4 linked regions of the Saccharomyces cerevisiae S288C genome follow. The protein of the gene in region 2 binds, or shares a complex with, the protein of the main gene of each other region. Each region holds a gene or a part of one and is shown on either strand. Other genes may lie near its edges. The genes, in order: MRPS8, RSM24, RSM27 and RSM26.

Region 1 (2,640 bases), on a different chromosome or scaffold from region 2:
AAATAGCAAAATTTTATTAGTGTACTTGGTGCAACTTTTAGAAGTTCTTGGGACGGTGATGACACCACCTTGGTTAGAAAATATGACTATGACGGCCGTGGGATCATTATCAATGATATTACACAGGTAATCCAGGGTGGATTTCTTGGAGTTAAAATTAATAAACTGCCAATCACTTGCGCTTCTACTAAAACTTATATTGGGGGACTTTGGTTTGATAATTGTATGGTCCAGATCAAAGGCATAAACGTTTAGACCATGCTCGTCGTGATCAATGGATTGTGGAAACTTGGGCGTGAACTTAATCAGAAATGGCAGGATTGTTAATTTGTGGGACATGGGCTTTCCTTCGGTTCAGTTTTCTATGTTATCCATCTGATTTTGGGATGATTTTACAGATTAAAATCGATTTAAAGCCATACGCAAAAGAGGGGAAACGAAAGAAACGCACAGAATTCATTCACATAGATGAAGGGAACAGAAAATGAGAATGTTATATGACAGATAAGCAGCATATTCAGGACATATATCCAGATATATATACATATAAGCTATTAACAAGGAGAAGAAACCAAAAAAAAAAAAAAAAGAAAACATCCTCAGATGATATCAGCTTTACCTACAGTTTCGTAATATTTACAGACGTCAGAGCCACTCAATTTCCTCGGAACAAAGATTTTAGACACTATAGAAACCTCATTTTCAAATCTTGTTGCATCAGCAATCGAATGAGGAAAGTTCACAACTACTAGCTTGTCACCGGTCTTGAAGTTCTCTTTGAAATATCTACCCAAAAGCATGACCAACATACCGGTCGGCAAATTGTAAGCGTACGTGTCACACCCGTATTTTTTGTAGTATTCATTTAATAAAGCCTCATATCTATCATCCCTCAAGGTTCTGTAGTAATCGATGACCTTGACTGGATCGACAAACTGCAGCTCATTTATATCATCGCCTTGTGATTTCTGCAGTACCTTTCTAGTTTCTTCAATGCTGGGTGATAAGGAAAACTTTATATCGACCTCACCTTGTGGGAAGATAGCCACACGTCTTTTCAACCCTTTAACCACATTTTCGAATTCTTCTTCTGATAATGTTGTCTTCGGTTTGTTCTTATCTAAAGACTGTACTGTCTTGACAAATATCACTGTACCGATAATAGCAACAAGGAAAATTTTCTTAAATCCTGGAGCATCTATTTTATCTGATTTGTTAGACCTTTTAGTTGAGCTATCAGTTGATGAGTATCGTGCTCTCAAGAGCAATGGTGAAAATAAGGGTAATTGCTTTTGAGGCAACCCACCGCACACCTTGAAACAATGTCGGCAGCTTGCTAGAACGCTTTTTCTCAGTGGTCGCAACATGTAGGTAGTCTATTTATCTGGGCTCGTTATGTATTAATCTTCCTATGGGGATTCATTCATTTTAGCTTTACCGGCAGTCCTTACAAACCGCTTTTTGAAATTAAATCGACAAACTGAGGAAGAAGAACGGAAAAACAGAAGAAAGCCAAAGGCAAAGAAGCGACCACATACACCTTTTTTTCGATCTAAACTAATCGCCCAAAATGTCGTTGGTCAAACTTGCGAATACGTGTGCTCATTTACAGAACTGCTCGAAAGTTAGAGTTGCCTTAACATCGATCCCATATACGAAATTGCAGCTACAGTTTGCGTATAACCTTTACCAACAAGGGTTCTTATCGTCTTTACAGAAGGGATCGACTATGGGACCAGACAAAGATTTTGTTGAAGTAACACCAGACAATATCTCTACTAGAAGGCTTTGGGTTGGATTGAAGTATAGAGATAACAAACCTGTCCTCAGCAGCTGCAAATTAATTTCCAAACCAAATTCAAGAATACACCTGCCAATGGAAGACATGAAGAAACTATGCTCTGGCGTAACTATTAGAAACATCAAACCACTACAACCAGGAGAACTGATTCTAGTTCGAGCTCATAACAACATTATGGACATTAATGAAGCCATATCCAAAAAGTTGGATGGAGAAGTACTATGCAGAGTAAAATGAATAGAACAATCACATATGACCGTATTTATACGTGTAATTAAAAAATATACGGACCATGTAAATAATAATATTATAAAATGCAGACAATGATGATGAGTATAGTACTACAGTAACGTCCTTCATTCATTACCTTTACTAGCAGTGATAAAAAGTTTTGAAAAAAAATGTGCTCCAGGGGAGGTTCGAACTCTCGACCTTCAGATTATGAGACTGACGCTCTTCCTACTGAGCTACTGAAGCTGTCTGTTATGGAGGATTCTAGCATTAAATGCTTTAATACTCAATAAAAGCAACAATGGAGAATAATTTATCAGCAACTAAATTTATAGACGAAGATCCTACGCCAAATCTTAGCTCCTTTATATTTAATATTGAAAAACATATGAATTTTAGGTTGAATCCTCAAAATGGAATTGATATTTCTACATAATAGTACTACGATTATTCTTCACTCTGTTTTATATGTGTCATTATGTTATTACATTATCAATCCTTGCATTTCAGCTTCGTCTAACTTCCATGACAGTTTCTCATACCTTATGTCATCATCTAACACCGTACATGATAACATACTGGTAGTGTAACTACTAGTTGATAGATGA
Region 2 (3,387 bases):
ACCAAAGAGAGAAATCCAAATACTTAGAAGCAAAGAAAAACGGTACCCTACCACCAGCTTCCTTGGAAAACGGTCCAACTCATGCGCCGGTTCCAATTCCTTTCAGTTTACAGCACGCCGCTGAACCTCCTGTGGAAAAGAGACCTCACGATGATGATGGATCTTCGGAAAAGAAGAAGAAGAAGAAGAAGAAGGATAAGAAGAAGGACAAATCCAACTCTTCTATTTGATGGACGGACAAACTCGTTACTATTACTCTACTGTCTTTCTAAAATAAATATAATAATAAAAAAAGGAATAAAATATAGCAGCATGGGCTTGCTTTGCCCATAGTGTATGCACATATATATATATATATATGTATCTATCCCTCTCCTCTTGTAACAGTATATCTTCCTTTTCATTTTCGTTGTGTATATGTATGTATATAGTTCTAAATTTGCGATTATACCTTTTCAAACCTCTCAATGTTGTATTGTGCTAAAACTATGTACATTTTAGAGAAAAAGAAGGAAGCAAAACAAATACATAATATATACAGGGGGGCCGTTCTTTTTGTTTTTGAACATGTATTAAAGAGTGCTCAATAATTGATCTACAATATCAAATTTCTTCTTTGGTGCATCTTCAGGGCGTTTCCAGTGTTCAGGAAACTCATAATCCCGCTTCTTTTTACGTAAACTCTTAGCTATAGTATGCCTTGTGTCAAGGGGAACATCGCTAAAATCGTCCTCCGTCAAATCTTTTGACTCCGCTAACAGCCTTTGAAGAATATCATGCAAATAACGTGCATTTTGTGATGCATGCTCAAATTTGTCACTAGACATTTTAAAAATATCTGTAGTATGATCATAACGCGACCTGGCTAATATTCTGAACTTATGTAATGATTTTTCCTCCAGGCCCAATTCCTTGGTTTTAACGCTTAATACAACCTTCCTCGAATTGGGATGCTCTTCGCCAACATAACTAGTGTATCTATAAGTGACCGGATGACTTTCTGGAGATGGTCTCTTGTATTCCTGGCGATATTGAGCTAATAGCGGTAACTCATATGCGGCTAATCGATTATAGAACCTTTGTTCACGATGTTGGGCAACCAATTCCTGAGCTTGCGATGGCAATTCATCAAACATAAACGGTCTAAGACTGTTATCGCGATTCACGTTTCCACCTTTTATATCAATAGCGCCTTGTTCTCCTCTGTGATATAGCTTTTTAATATCGTTAACAGGTACATTTGAGTACTCAGAAGTGGTTAATAAGGCATTCAGTTCGTCTTTGTTAGGTTTATACTCTGAACCCAATCTAGCCATTCTCTCCCAATATAACTCTAAAATTCTTTGAGGAGGTAAACCCTTCCATTTTTCGGGATGCATATAGAGATCTGCTGAAAAAGCTGGTCCTTCTCTCACAGTTTTAGCTTCATTACCAGCATCACTGTTCAAACATCTAGACATTGTCAAAACCCTTTTCTGGGTGCTCCACAAATTACCCCGAGAGACTTTCCATAACCCCAATGGTACTTTCATCTTCCTAAGAATAGTATTTTAGTAGTGTCAAATGTTTCGGTAACTCTACTGCCTTGTTCACAGATCGAAATATACTCAGAATCAGTTACAGAAAAGGTCCCATTTAGCGTAATTTCTTAGCGGAACTCATTAAAGAGCTCCGACGTGCAACGCGATAAAGGTTCGCCGACGACAACAAAACAATGGCAGGCAGTCATTAAATGAACGCCATCAAATGAAATATTCGTGGTAGCGATTACAATAAGGAAGTTGGAAAAACATAACAAAGACGGAGCGACGAGAAGTATTGGACAGGACATATGCCTAGACATGGAAGAAGAGGAAAACTGCCAAAAGGCGAGAAACTTCCTAAAAAGGAGGGAGGCGACAATACTCCGTCAAAGCTTTTATCGTCAATGCTTAAAACTTTAGATTTGACCTTCGAGCGTGATATTGGAATGCTCAATGGCAAAAGTGTTAGGTCCATACCCAATAAAAAAACTTTACTTGAATTGCAAAGTCAATTGGATAGTCTCAATGAAATACTGGGTACAATTGCCCGAGGTGATCAAGAGACCATTGAAGCGCTTCGGAAAATAAGAGACAGTAAAAATGAGAAGCAAGCAAACGATGAAAAGCAGGAAACTTCAAATGCAGACGGGCAGCACGAAAGTTCTACTGCTACTGAAGAAACGAATATAATTGATAAAGGGGTACAAAGCCCACCAAAACCTCCTCCTTCTAATGAAATCTCCGGCACAATTGAGAACGATGTAGAAAGCATCAAACAAGCGGCTGATAATATGGCTAAAGAAGAAATTAATGAAGACAAAGATTTACAAGTTCATAGAGATCAACCCAGAGAAAAGAGGCCGTTCGATTCTGAAACTGAAAATAGGGCCACTGAAAATGAAAACACACAGAGGCCAGACAATAAGAAGCAAAAAATTGACGTTGACAAAATGGAAAACGATCCAACTGTTAAAAATCCAAAATCAGAATTTGTAGTATCGCAAACGTTACCTCGAGCAGCAGCAGCACTCGGCTTATTCAATGAAGAGGGACTAGAAAGTACAGGAGAAGACTTCCTAAAAAAAAAATACAATGTAGCTAGTTATCCAACAAATGATTTGAAAGATCTGTTACCAGGTGAATTACCGGATATGGACTTTTCGCATCCTAAACCAACCAACCAAATTCAATTCAATACCTTTCTAGCATTTGTGGAAAATTTTTTCAAAGATCTTAGTGATGACAACTTAAAGTTTTTGAAGATGAAATATATTATACCCGATAGCTTGCAATTTGACAAAACTTATGACCCTGAGGTAAACCCGTTTATTATACCGAAACTAGGCCCTTTATACACAGATGTTTGGTTCAAAGATGAAAACGACAAAAATTCTGCCTATAAAAAACCTTCACCATATTCAAACGATGCATCTACTATACTACCAAAAAAAAGTGCCAACGAACTTGATGATAATGCTTTGGAATCGGGCAGTATATCGTGTGGGCCCTTATTATCTAGGCTGTTGAGTGCTGTATTAAAAGATGACAATGACAAATCAGAATTGCAATCTTCTAAAATAATACGGGATGGCGGACTACCGAGAACCGGAGGGGAAGACGATATACAATCGTTTAGAAACAACAACAATGATACTGTAGACATGACATTATCTCAGGAGAACGGGCCCAGTGTTCAAACACCTGACAATGACATTGATGAGGAAGCATCTTTCCAAGCAAAACTGGCAGAAAATAAAGGCAGTAATGGCGGTACTACAAGTACGTTACCCCAACAAATTGGGTGGATAACAAATGGAATTAACCTGGACTATCCAACATTCGAAGAACGATTGAAAAGAGAACT
Region 3 (2,536 bases), on a different chromosome or scaffold from region 2:
CTTATAATATATCGAAATGTAGCATTGTTAGTTTACTTCGTAAACTGCCCTTGTAGAGTGAGGTATAGCTTAGAAAATAGCAAACTAAATAGAGAGCGAAATGTCCTTACCAGCTACTTTTGACTTGACTCCAGAAGATGCCCAACTTTTGTTGGCTGCTAACACTCACTTAGGTGCTAGAAACGTTCAAGTATGTTATACTCATTCCCGATTATATAATAGAGTAATGTGTGATTGAAAACAGTTCGAGTGAAAGAATAGCCACAACCAGGTTTCCCGCCAACCAAACGGAATGCTGGGATAGCATTTTTCAGGCTGAATAAGAAGAGAAATATATGAACAATCATTAAAACAGTTTGAAACTCCAGCTAATTATCAGCGAATATTTTGCCAATAGACTTTCTAATTGTATTATGTTATTAAATTTTAAATCGCTAATGAAAAAAAAAAACAAACCTTTGGTATTAAACCTCTTTCAATGAAATCAATTAATTCCGGTACCTATTCTTCCGACGCTGTTAGCCAACTATAAATGCCATTTTTTCATAGTACATTAATTTGAATCAGTTGATCATTCACAGCATATACCAAGTGTACGTTTTTGAATCTTTTATACTAACTTTTTCTTCTTTAATTTTGTTTCAGGTTCACCAAGAACCATATGTTTTCAACGCAAGACCAGATGGTGTCCACGTTATCAACGTTGGTAAGACCTGGGAAAAATTGGTTTTGGCTGCCAGAATCATCGCTGCCATTCCAAACCCAGAAGACGTTGTTGCCATCTCTTCCAGAACTTTCGGTCAAAGGGCTGTTTTGAAGTTCGCTGCCCACACCGGTGCTACCCCAATCGCCGGTAGATTCACTCCAGGTTCTTTCACCAATTATATCACCCGTTCTTTCAAGGAACCAAGATTAGTTATTGTCACCGACCCAAGATCAGATGCTCAAGCCATCAAGGAAGCTTCTTACGTTAACATCCCTGTCATTGCTCTAACTGATCTTGACTCTCCATCAGAATTCGTCGATGTCGCTATCCCATGTAACAACAGAGGTAAGCACTCCATTGGTTTAATCTGGTACTTATTGGCTAGAGAAGTTTTGAGACTAAGAGGTGCTTTAGTTGACAGAACTCAACCATGGTCCATCATGCCAGATTTGTACTTCTACAGAGACCCTGAAGAAGTTGAACAACAAGTTGCTGAAGAAGCTACCACCGAAGAAGCTGGTGAAGAAGAAGCCAAGGAAGAGGTTACCGAAGAGCAAGCTGAAGCTACTGAATGGGCTGAAGAAAATGCTGACAACGTCGAGTGGTAAGTAAGGTGATATTTACAAATAGTATATTAATAATTATAGTATAATGTTTTATTAGAATAACAGATTTCTTTATCAATTTAGCGGCTAAATAAAAATCAAGAAAAAAGAAATACATTCATTGTGTCATCTTGTCACACATTTAGCCATGTACTTTATTTGCTGAGAAGTTTAATCAATTGAGAGTAGTTAGCTATTGTAGTAAAAATGTGCAAATGAAGTCTTATCAACACGTAGCGTATATAGTGATCTAAAACAGTTAGAAATATAATAAGCGAACTTCTAAACCATTTTAGAGCACATAGCCATGGAGAATAGGTACTTGTTTTGACCCGCTCGACGAAGTGGTACGTAGTGATTGCGTGGATTAGTTTATCATAAGACTTTCAATGAACGTACCAAAGGCGAGACTCCTAAAAGTAGCAGAGTTATCTGCGAAGATATTTGATCAAAATTTCAACCCATCAGGTATAAGAACCGGTTCTAAGATTCTAAATGAGCGATTAAAGGGCCCTTCTGTGGCAAGCTACTACGGCAATCCGGATATCCTGAAGTTCAGACATTTGAAAACATTATATCCTGATATTGAATTTGTAGACCTTGAGGAGCAATATCGATTATCTATGGTAGAAGCAAAGAAACGTCGTGGTAAAGGTGCTCCTAAGAAGATGAAGAAGGATGCAGCTGCAACTGCAAAGGGGAAGGGGAAGAAAAAAAAATGATTGGAGCACCCTTACTAAAAAAAATATTCATTATGTAGAAACTCATTTCATGTACATACAAAATCAAAAATAAAACAACAAATAGCTGAAGCAAGAAAACGCTACTTTACTTATAAAAGAAAACGTTATGCCTGAATAGTCAGCCTTTTGTATAAATCCTTTACACTCAATGGCTTACTAGGCAGTGAAGAATAAAGAACATAGTACAGCTTATTTCTATTGACCATTATAGACTCCCCTCGGACAATCTTTCGTACAGTAGCAAACGAGAAATAATTTGTCCTCATTTGCGACAACAATAGATTGTATGGTCTGAACATACTCTTGAATTTAATAGGATTGTTTTGAAGTTCTAAGGTTGTATGCTTGTTAGAAACCGTGGTTTTGAGCTCAATTGAAATGCCACCGGGTAGACGTTTAGGATCTTTTAACCTAAGTAATAATGCGAACAATGGAAAATGGTTAATGAGTGCAATGACAGCTTCCGAGAATATTTCGATAGT
Region 4 (3,195 bases), on a different chromosome or scaffold from region 2:
AATGAGGACATCCAAAGATCTGTATCACAGGTATTTATTGATGAAATTTGGTCGCAAATGACCAAAGAAGGCAAATGCTTACCGATTGACCAAAGTGGTAGGAGAAGCAGCAATACCACCACTACGAGATATTTTATATTATGGAAGAGCTTAGACAGTTGGGCTTCTTTGATACTACAGTGGTTCGAAGACTCTGGAAAACTGAATCAAGTCATTACGTTATACGAATTGAGTGAAGGTGATGAAACAGTCAATTGGGAGTTCCATAGAATGCCCGAAAGCTTGCTCTATTATTGTTTGAAGCCCCTATGCGATAGAAATAGGGCCACAATGCTGAAAGATGAAAATGATAAAGTAATTGCCATTAAGGTTGTTTAAAACACGAGCGAGAGGATAAAATAAAACTATTTACAGTATATAAGATTTTGGTAGATCCCCTTCTACCCGATACCTTTATAATTACATATGAGGGTAAGAGGCTATCGCTTCCTTTCTTTTCATTACTTCGATATACCAGAGAATATCCTATTATTTACCACTGACCAATTCAAGTTATCTAGAACATTCTTCACGTATTTGGACCGGTTACCAACGCCATAATCATGTAAATAAGCATGATCCCACAGATTGACACAGATTATAGGCATGGTCCAGTCTTGAACCTTACCATTCAACTTAGTAGACTTTCCTATCAGTTCTTTCATTTGTTTCAAGGTAGCAAATTCATCGATGGATATCGCACTGTTTAAATCAAATGACTGGTTCCTGGGAAAATAATACGGCGTACCATTATTATTGCTCGTTAATATGAAGAGTTTTTTCTCATTGTTTTCAACTAGAAATAACCAGCCTTGTCCCAAGACTTCATTCTCAGCACGGTAAATCATTTCCTCCTTCACTACTTCCCAATCGCTGCCGTTGAATGAATCTTTGATTTTGGATAAAAAAAGCCTAGAAGGCTCTGTCTTCACAACGGCGTTCGAGTTAGTGCCATGTTCAACAGCAGAAGGTAGAATGTTCTCCACGAATAAATGGTTATTATGGATAGAGGACGCCAAATTGAAGATGTTTGACTGTAATGGATTTCCTGCAGTTTTCAGCAATATGTGAAATGGATAATATGATTCCAAAGACTGTCCCGCTGTCGCCAGCGTTAGCTTATCACATAGATATCGCTGGTAGTCGAACCACACCGTCTTGAATCCCGAAGAACTGAGTATATTAGGCACTCCATTTTGCAGTAGGGCCTTAGAATTTGGTAGTTTAGGTACTACGTGAATACCCCTTTTGAAAACAAGCATTTCTCTGCGTCTTAGTTGCGCCAAGAAGACGATATTATGTGGTCTTCAGAAATTTGCCTGCAAAATATCCTCTTATTGTGAAAAGACTTTTGCTATACCCTTCTTACTTTTCCATGCTTTGCGATACTTCTTGCTCAGTCCAAAAAAGTACTGCGGCACCTCTCCTAAGATTCTTGGAAAGATGGGAAGTGAAAAAAAAAAATACAAAAAATAATGAGAGCTAAGGGATTCGAACCCTTGCATCCGAAGATATCAGAGATTTTAGAGGTTAAATCCACCTAAATCTGACGCCTTAAACCACTCGGCCAAACTCCCATTGTTTGTTGAATGGACTTCATAAACAATCGCATATCATTGATTGGTTACTTTTTAAGAAGGGATTGATGCCAAAGTCAGATGGTAACCATTGGATCAAGTGATAACACGTTTAAATGAAACAGTACCCATTTCTATAGACCAGATACCACGGAAGGATTACTGTAGAGGTGAGATATGAGATAGAGGGAATTGCCATTCGGTTAATAGCATATATAGGTTTTTATATGGAAGATTTGTGGGGCAATTGATTACCTTGTCAAAAATATATATAATATCTTGGAGCTGTAAAGGAAAGGCAATGTACAAAATCGACCAAGAGCTTTACTAAGTCTGGACAGTCGTTTGTCTGCCGATGTGGAAAAATAGCTTTCAATATAGTTATAGGAAGAATTTTCATAACAAGTGCGCGGTCTTGTTCCCCTTAACAGGTTCCGAACCTAGTATGGGAGAGGTTTCATTGACTTCGTTATATACTTCATTCAAGTTTGTAAGCCTACCGGCAATAAGGATTTGAAAAGTACGAAATGAAAAAAGACAAAACAAAAGAAGATTAAAGGTCAAACATAAAGGATAACACCGACATGCATAGAACGGCAATATTTCTAACTTACCGATCATGTATGAGAAATTTCAGTACACTGAGTAAAACATTAACGGTTTCTTCTGGTAAAGTAATCAGAAACGGTCCATTTAGGAGAGTAATTCGTGAAAAGAACCAAATAACGAAGGCGCCATCAGTAAAAGCATTTAAAGAAAATAGCAATAGCGGGATAATAAAAGTACATGATCCTATAGCTACTACGATACTTAATGAACCGACAGTTATTATCGAAAGGCAAATAGAATTTATGAACGTTTTTCTAGGTTTCGAGCAGGCTAATAGGTATGCCATAATGGATGTGAACGGAAACAAAATAGCATCAATGATGGAAAGAGATTTTTCTATAACAAAGGCCATAATGCGGCAGTTTTATCGTCTACATCGTCCTTTTTTGGTAGATGTCTTTGATAATTGGGGAAATGTAATAATGACGATTAAAAGGCCCTTTTCGTTCATCAATTCTCATATAAAGACTATCATACCTCCTTCCGCGTATGTTGATAATGGCAGTGACTCCACTCACTATCACGACGGTAAAGAAGGAACGACAGTAGGAGAGACCATTCAGAACTGGCATCTCTGGAGGCGTCGTTACGAATTATTCCAGAAAGATGGAGTAGAAGGATCCACTTTTGACCAATTTGGTAAGATAGATGCACCTTTCTTATCATTTGATTTTCCTGTAACAGATGCTGATGGTAAGATAATGGCGAGTGTAGACAGAAATTGGGTTGGTTTAGGAAGAGAAATGTTTACCGATACTGGTGTTTATGTTGTTAGATTTGATTCGCAGAGATGCTTTGATAATATTTATCCTACTGAGATGCTAAGTTCTCAAGTACTAACTTTGGATCAAAGGGCCGTGTTATTAGCAAACGCTGTGTCCATCGATTTCGATTATTTTTCGAGACATTCCAGACAAACTGGAGGTTTCCTTTCTTTTGGCGGTGGCTATGATGAGTAGGTGAATTATAT

The links.
Region 1: RSM24 (region 2) and MRPS8 share a complex: the UniProt entries of both Saccharomyces cerevisiae proteins name them as parts of the mitochondrial small ribosomal subunit.
Region 3: RSM24 (region 2) and RSM27 share a complex: the UniProt entries of both Saccharomyces cerevisiae proteins name them as parts of the mitochondrial small ribosomal subunit.
Region 4: RSM24 (region 2) and RSM26 share a complex: the UniProt entries of both Saccharomyces cerevisiae proteins name them as parts of the mitochondrial small ribosomal subunit.

Annotation. Positions count from the first base shown.
Region 1 is NC_001145.3:570,678-573,317, forward strand, and holds MRPS8 (mitochondrial 37S ribosomal protein uS8m MRPS8), read left to right. Parts: upstream 1-1,570; coding exon 1,571-2,038; downstream 2,039-2,640. Other genes in the region: TPP1 (polynucleotide 3'-phosphatase), read right to left, coding at 1-339; AIM36 (Aim36p), read right to left, coding at 600-1,367; YMR158C-A (uncharacterized protein), read right to left, coding at 2,517-2,640. UniProt on the Saccharomyces cerevisiae protein: Component of the mitochondrial ribosome (mitoribosome), a dedicated translation machinery responsible for the synthesis of mitochondrial genome-encoded proteins, including at least some of the essential transmembrane subunits of the mitochondrial respiratory chain.
Region 2 is NC_001136.10:812,621-816,007, forward strand, and holds RSM24 (mitochondrial 37S ribosomal protein mS35 RSM24), read right to left. Parts: upstream 1,533-3,387; coding exon 573-1,532; downstream 1-572. Other genes in the region: HMO1 (Hmo1p), read left to right, coding at 1-230; histone acetyltransferase NGG1, read left to right, coding at 1,832-3,387. UniProt on the Saccharomyces cerevisiae protein: Component of the mitochondrial ribosome (mitoribosome), a dedicated translation machinery responsible for the synthesis of mitochondrial genome-encoded proteins, including at least some of the essential transmembrane subunits of the mitochondrial respiratory chain.
Region 3 is NC_001139.9:920,475-923,010, forward strand, and holds RSM27 (mitochondrial 37S ribosomal protein mS33 RSM27), read left to right. Parts: upstream 1-1,700; coding exon 1,701-2,033; downstream 2,034-2,536. Other genes in the region: 40S ribosomal protein uS2 RPS0A, read left to right, coding at 101-190, 646-1,314; GPI1 (phosphatidylinositol N-acetylglucosaminyltransferase), read right to left, coding at 2,159-2,536. UniProt on the Saccharomyces cerevisiae protein: Component of the mitochondrial ribosome (mitoribosome), a dedicated translation machinery responsible for the synthesis of mitochondrial genome-encoded proteins, including at least some of the essential transmembrane subunits of the mitochondrial respiratory chain.
Region 4 is NC_001142.9:616,340-619,534, reverse strand, and holds RSM26 (mitochondrial 37S ribosomal protein mS42 RSM26), read right to left. Parts: upstream 1,302-3,195; coding exon 501-1,301; downstream 1-500. Other genes in the region: ESCRT-II subunit protein VPS25, read left to right, coding at 1-378; AIM25 (Aim25p), read left to right, coding at 2,201-3,184. UniProt on the Saccharomyces cerevisiae protein: Component of the mitochondrial ribosome (mitoribosome), a dedicated translation machinery responsible for the synthesis of mitochondrial genome-encoded proteins, including at least some of the essential transmembrane subunits of the mitochondrial respiratory chain.